Drosophila melanogaster: one gene and its partner. The protein of the gene in region 2 purifies or fractionates together with the protein of the main gene of each other region. This does not show direct contact. Each region holds a gene or a part of one and is shown on either strand. Other genes may lie near its edges.

The links. Proteins that work in one complex are often made in the same cells at the same time.
Region 1: the proteins of Clk (region 2) and per purify together in Drosophila melanogaster (affinity purification with western blotting; 10 studies listed by BioGRID). This does not show direct contact.

What each region holds. Positions count from the first base shown.
Region 1 is NC_004354.4:2,683,934-2,687,687, forward strand, and holds the start of per (period), read left to right. Parts: upstream 1-1,646; 5' UTR 1,647-1,967; intron 1,968-3,754. UniProt on the Drosophila melanogaster protein: Essential for biological clock functions. Determines the period length of circadian and ultradian rhythms; an increase in PER dosage leads to shortened circadian rhythms and a decrease leads to lengthened circadian rhythms.
Region 2 is NT_037436.4:7,773,908-7,777,661, forward strand, and holds the start of Clk (clock), read right to left. Parts: upstream 1,697-3,754; 5' UTR 1,589-1,696; intron 1-1,588. UniProt on the Drosophila melanogaster protein: Circadian regulator that acts as a transcription factor and generates a rhythmic output with a period of about 24 hours. Oscillates in antiphase to the cycling observed for period (PER) and timeless (TIM).

The DNA of each region.
Region 1 (3,754 bases), on a different chromosome or scaffold from region 2:
CCGATTAGCGGCAATCAAATGAAATCACAGCACATCAAAACGCGACGGGGAGTGGCGAAGTGCGGCAAGTCAACAGTCGCAGCATCAAAATCAAATTAGCAGCAGTTTGGTGGCTAATTCGAACGCACTTTATCATTTTCGGGCAGGCGTCTGTGACTTTGTGGCACGTGTGTGGCCGCGATAGATAAGAGCGAGCCCCAGCAAATGCCAGCAAACTCCGGCTAGCTTGGGCAAACACCACACACGTGGCCACAAAGGAGCTGCGTGTGGAGTGGGTGCCGGGTCAAATGGATTTTCACACCCACTCGACGTCGGCAAAGCCGCCAATTAATAGAATTCAATTATTCAAAGCCACCGCAGGCCGATGGGACGGCTGATAAGGCATAAAGACATCCTTGGGCACTTCGATCGGATTAGGATAATAAAAAATGCTCCGAAAAAAAAAGAAGTTGTGGGGTCCATAAAAATATGCTTTTATGAGGGGGTAGCTAAAATCATTTCCTATTTATCAGATGCCTCAACTTTTAACCCTTCAATTGCGAAGACTAAAAGCCAAATTCAATGCACAGAAATTGCAAGTAATAATCATTTGTAACTGCATAGCAGTAGTATCAGCATCGAACCGAACCACTCGACCGCTCGGAGTTCATCAACCCCTCGTGGAAAGACGGGGAATCCCCTGCTGGCAGGTATGTGTAACGCCACCTGTGGGCCACAGCGCGCAACAGCCAGCTGGGCGGAGGCGGAAAAGCCAGGGAAAATCAGCTGTCGCTATCATCCCACTCCGTACGTGTTTCAGCGCACGCCGCGCACACCTGCCCAGGTAGAGCTTCCACGGGACAAACGGGAAACAGAAGCCCCCAAAAGCTTGGCGCCACTTTCAACTTTTCATCCGTGCTAGAGAGCCGAGCTGCTAGACCGATGCACTGCGTTGACTGCGGACTGGCGCTCTGGTGCACTGCTGGCCGCACTTGGACGATGACCAGGTGGGTGGGTGAGTAATGCCGTTGCGAAATGCCAGTGCCAGTGCGAGTTCGCACAATTCATGGTGGGGCAGGGACGGGTCCGAGTGCAAAAAGCGTCCGAGAAAGCCGTAGGCAGTGAAAAGCCGCCGCTCACGTGGCGAACTGCGTGACTTGGCCAGCAAATCCGCCGCCCAGCCGGCTCCCCGGAAAACACCCCTCGGAAAACGTGCTGCCAGCCGCCCACCAGGCAGCCCCAAAAAGGCAGGGGATTCCATAGCTTTCCTTAACCTGCAGTTGGTGCGTGGGGCTTGGATTGACACTTGGCATCGGCAGTGCCATGTAACGTATCCCACAGCATAGATAAAAACCAAAAGAAACTAGTATTCAATAGAAGCTATGAAAAAGAAAGATATCCAACATTATAGCAATCTATAAATGGGGTTTCTTGCTATGGAAAAGGGAGTCTTTGGCATTCCAATTACTTGCTTTTGTTGTTCGCGCAAAAGCTTCGCCCAAGGGTTAATGTTTGGGTCCGAGTATCTCAGCCGACCAGCGATTTCCCGAGCGACTGCGATTCCCAGCGATTCTCAGCGACGGCGGAGAGCAGCGAGTGAGTGTGAGAAAATTCTGGGAATGCGAGTGCACGGGGGCTTATACACCGGAGCTTGCGATGCGAGCACTAGTGTTCGTGCGAATTTAGAGCCAGAAGGTCGACAACGCGTTCGTCGCACAGTAGAAAGTATTGCCATATACCAAATAAATCGCAACAACGACCTGTCGAATCACGCAAACAAACAGCTTCGTTTTTTTTTTTTTAATTTCGACCAGAAACAAACCGTTATTCTTTGGTGCCAGTGTTAGTGTCAAGTGTATCGAGCTGAGTGACATATAGCCACAGCCAAAAAGTGAGACCATAAGTGAGATTCCAAACAGAAGGCAGCAGCAGCCTAATCGCAGCCTAATCGCAAAAAAGTGCAGCTGGGTGAGAGCGAGAGCGAGTGTGTAAGTGCAATTGTCACGTTGTTGCAATAAAGCTGCAAAGAAAAATCTCAGCAAGAGGCGCTAGATAGACCATTATCATATTGCCAATACAAAACAACGCATTGGGCAGGCAGCTTACATAAATAACTCGGTTCATAACGTCCAATGGCGCACTTACACATATGTACATATAGTGTTTATTAATAAGTGCACGTTGCACACCGAGCAAAGCGTAAACAAAAGCCCACATCAAAATACCTGACCCTACCGAACAATGCTCCGGGAATGCCCCACCACTTCCTTCCTTGCAGTGCCAAACAAACATACTCTGGCCGCAGAATACGCATACGCAACGTGGTGCACCACTGCAGCCGCTTGCCTTCCGGTCACCTGGAGTGCAGTACTGCAGCACACTGCGCCTACGTGAAGTGAACTCATTCATATATGTAGCTACATAGCTCTAATCGATGCCCGGCATCCAATCTGGGTCAGAGCATATTGCGCATACGCAGCGTGTTCCCTTTTGGGCATTGCACCTTGGTATTTTCAGCTTATTTGCTGCACACACGCCACGTGGGCGCAGTAATTTCTGGCAAATTTGGAATGTCTATTAAAACCCCTACGATTTGGATAGCCGCAGTCGCAGTCGCGTTACACAAGCTAAACAGAGTACCACCATTAATAGCTCAACGTTCCCATTCGTGCCCCGAATTTTCCCACAGTCTTTCCCAGTATGTCTTGCCCCCGGGTTATGCGACTGTTATCCATGTCTGTCGCGCTTCCTGTGCTGCATTATCTAACATCCTCGGAATGACGCACGACCAATGTAATCCAGCAATCCAGAGGCATCGCGGCGGATTCGATTCGACCAGTTGGCCTTCTTGCTTTGCTGCGTCAAAGTTCACCCACATATGGGATGCGAACTGGGTTAACCAGCGAGTTACACAATCCTTGGTGGGTATAAACTGAAGGATTTGGGCAGATTGAGCAGTCGGTTGGAAGCCAGTTTGTTGGGCAAAAAAATGGTATTATCCAATGGAATTTTTCACCTTCTTTGGAATTCTTTCTTCTTGAATTCTGGGCCGTCGAAACAACTATCAGCTTGTTTACTTGGCCCATTTGGTTATCTTTGCTTTTAATGGAAACTCTGAAGAGCCTGGAATGGGGTCCACCCTAATGCCTGTGTGTCTGTGTAGTATTTTTGGGTTTAGTTGATTCAGCCAAATCGGAGAGAATGAACCTGGGTCTTATGCAATCGCTGAAACCGAACTCCTTGCCGAATTGAATGCTTGCTATATGCACCGATTACGACATAGTGGTGCATTGTGAGAAATATGAGTTCTTCGCTGCGTTCTTTTTTTGTAATTGCAAAATTGCTGAAAAGAATGTGTCTTCTACTGAGGTACAGGGTACATGGTTCTGAACTACACACTACACGTATCTAAGTATCTAAGTACGTATCTGCGAATCTGGAGCCGGGATGCATTGCGACTGCATAACGACATCCGTTGGCGGAGCGGCAGAGGCAACGCGAGAGCAAAAGCACATCGCACTGCACGTGAATGCAGCGTCGCGCCGTCTCGCTCTCGCTCCCGCTGCGCTGTTAATTAGCACAGTGAAGCCTCGTTGCAGGCAACCACCGTGTGGGCGACATTGTTCTCTATCTATCGTTCTGAGTCTGGGCCGGGCAGAGAGTATACGATTCAATCAATGGCCACCATGCAGGTGCAAGTCAAGGTGACAATTTCACAACAATGCTCCAGCCAATTAGGACTAGAAGTTATCCAAGCCATGATTCATGAACATGA
Region 2 (3,754 bases):
CAAAGCGACTAGCAAATTACCTAGCTAGTTTCAGCCACTGGAAATTCTTGTAATTAAGCAAAACTTACAAACAATATTATTTATCTTGAATTCACCGGAATGAAAATAGTGTACTGCGTAAAATATCCAATCAATCTTGCTGAATGAAACTAAAACCAATATCTAAAAATATTTTTTAATTTTTATATTTATTTTAATATTGGGTACGAAATCCAACTTTTAGAGTAAACAAACGACACAACTCCATTCAAAATTCGAATAAAGAGTACATTATTAAAATACCTTTCCAAATCTAAAGACATTTTAAAAAAATTATAGTTTTTATTATATGTATGTGGAAAAATCGCTCTCACAGGTAGTTTGTTTTCAATTTTTTTTTGGTTGAATGCACTTTTGTTTTAAGCGAGAAGTATCTTCACTCGTATTCGCTCGTATCTCATCCTTGGGTTTGCCTTATCTTTTTTGGCGCGGCATTTTTCTTCTGTTATTTTTGTCACTGCGGATGTTCTACCTAATGCACTTTTGCTTTTATTATTTTTATTTTTTTCCTCCACTTTTGCTTTGCACACTTCACAATTTTGCCGCAGCTGATTTGTAATTTAATCTTTTGAATCTGGCGCAAAACTTTGGTAATTAGCAGGTAAAGTAGTTAATTTACTTCGAAATTGAATCTTAGCTACATTAGTTTGGATGCACTTGTTCAATTAAATAAAACTTTACTACTTTAGTATTTAACTAAGATCAATTTTTAACTTGTGAAAACTTGTATTTGTGTTTTATTGCAACATCACTGACATATAACTACACTTTTTTATTTGGCTTTTTAAAAACGCCCATTATTATTTAAACTATTTATTTTTATCCATATATTGCCTTTGGCGGCTTATCCACTTTTGTTTTTTCCTCTGCCTTTCACTTTGTTTCTTCAAGAATTATTCCACATTTGTTCCTGTTTTTATGGCACGAGTGTTTTAAAAGTTACATAATAACTTTTCCCGTTCTGCTTTGCGCGTTTTTTTTTTTATACTTCTGCACTTGGTGACATATATACGCCAATATATAGAAAACGATATCCAATAACAAAAACACTTTAATTTCTTTTATGGTAAAAGGTAAAACAAAAAACTTTTTTGGCAATATCAGCAGAAACAAGGAAGAAAGCTGCAATTTAATTAAGCGCAAAGACGGAGACAAACAAAAATATTATTCCCCTTCAAATCCGAAACAGAACCGAAAAGGCGAAAAGTGTGTAATATGCGATCGAGTTACAGGCAGAGACAATATCAACGGCAGACGGCTTGACTTTGCTTCAGATCGGCCAAGTACTTGCGATATAAAACAATAACTGCGCGCTCAAAAAAAAAACCCGGAGAAAATGCGAATAAATCGAAAACCCGAATCGGAAAATTAAAGAGAGAGATCCGCTCGTTGACGCTGCGCTTGCTGGACTCAAACTGAATAAATGCACGAGAATTGCAAGTTCTAAGCTGGCGAAAATAAAAACTACAAACGCAAAAAGCCCGTGGATAAACGAAAAACCGCGAAATGCATCGAAATGTGAGCAGCGAGTCCCCAGAAGCGTTCTCACCGATACAAAGATACGAAACCGAATCGGTCGGGAGAGTCAGTCGGTCTACAAGTCTGTTGTAATGCCTTTTGCCGGCCGGGGCGTATACGCGATATGTGCAAGCATTCCCAGCTCTACCTGACTGACTGACTGATTGAGCACCGCCACTCGGCTATTATTTAATATGCTCTCCACACTCAGAATCCGCCATATCACTCAATTGCACCGATCGTGAACCTGAGTTGAGTCTTTATCTATCGCTCTATCAAACTATCAGCACGCTCAGAGCCACTCTGCTCAGAGGGTCTCTCTCGGATCGGATAGTATAGCTTTTCTATATAGTTTTCTTTCAACCTTTCTGTTTGTTGTCCAATATTCCGCGTGTTTCTGGCATTCCGTCTGGAGATTACAGATATAAGGGTCTCTCGGGGGTCTCGCAGGGGTGATTCAACGGGTTTTGTTTGTCCGCGACTTAAGTTCAAGGTCTGTGGCAGGGGTGAGTTTTTGACTATAGGTCGGCATAGACTGAAACTAGGTAGGTGGTGCAACATACCCTAACTATCTTTTGATCTATCTATACTGCTTCATGTCTATAAACTTACATTAACAGATCATATGTGCATTTCATGCAACGTGAGGCGAACTGAAATATAATTTGAAATAATAAGAGAAGTTAAACATAATTTAAAGTTAAAACTAAACAAACTGTTTTAATATTTAATCATTTAATTTAATGTAAACTTTTACTAATTAAATTGTCTTATAGTATGGAAAGTGATAAAAGAACTTCCAAACTGTCATTTCAGCTTTTGTTAATCCACACAAATAATTTCCAAAGCACTACGGCATTAGCTTTTTAATGCAAACTCATATTTCAATAAATATTTCATATATAAAGTAGTTTTAGTATGAATTCAATAGTGAACCACGACCCTTACCTTTGATTCCTTTGTCGTATTTTATCTTCAAAATCAATTCAATTGGAATTCAGCTCCGAATCTAGCACTACGACCTCACTTTCTGCAAAGGTAGCACAGAAAACTAATAATTCTGATTCTTATTCCATGATTGCCTAATCGCGAACCGCTTGCACCAGAAATTCGATATTTATTAGATGCTTACGTAACATTTCAGCACTCGATTTGCAATTTACAAGATTTTCTCGATTTGATTTGAAAGTTTTATAGGTTTATGCAACGCACAGGATGTATATATGTAGCTATTCAGCAATGCAGAGGTGTAGTCAGAACTACTTTGTTGTCAAACTGAAACTCAATAGTTTTTTTTATCAACCACTTTTATAAGTTAAAAGAAAAACCATAGTTATGTTCCACATTTATTTTATATTTTAATTGTTTTCCTCTTTATTTTACATCATTATTAAATTAAGAAGTACCAGTAAAAAAAATTTAGCACAAAAAACACAGAGAAAATATGTTGTTGATTTGATCTTAAGAATTTTAGAAATATTATAAATTTTTTTTTGTTTCATATAGAATTATGTAATAATTTCTTCATATAAAGTAGACACAAAAATAATGTCAAATTTTGGGATTGTATTGTATTTAGTGTCTAAACGTAAATACACGATGATTTAATTTAGACGTTCGTGTATATTTTGTATAAAATTACATAAATATTTTGTTGACAAAAAATGTTGATTTATTTATTTATTTTGTGTTGAGCTGAAAATTAAATTCGTGTTCTATAACTAGCGTAGAAAATGTACATATAATTTATGGATTATCCGTAAAAAGATATTTACAAAGACAAAGATGTGCCGACTGATAAAGCAAATTTTTGTTTTTAAAATTGATTTGCTTTATAGGGAGAGTTTGAACGATTAAAAAGAATAAACAAAATGAGTATGCGGCTTAGAAGTAGAAGAAATCAAAGACAAAGATGTTTTAGCTAATGTTACAAAGATATATCAAAGCTATCTCTTCAATAGGAATGCGGGCTGAAGATACAGATACGAATACAGAAATAAGCATTTAGCGTATAGCACTTTATATATAGGTTCATATAGGTGAGCATATCATTTAGTTAGCCTAAGCATAATCAAGAGAGAGTAGGGGTGTTATAGAGAGGGACATAGTTCAGAGGGTATACATAGTGAAAGGGTATTAGTCAACAGAAAGGTAATTTCAAATTCTTAACACATTAGTCCACCCATTAACTTTCTTC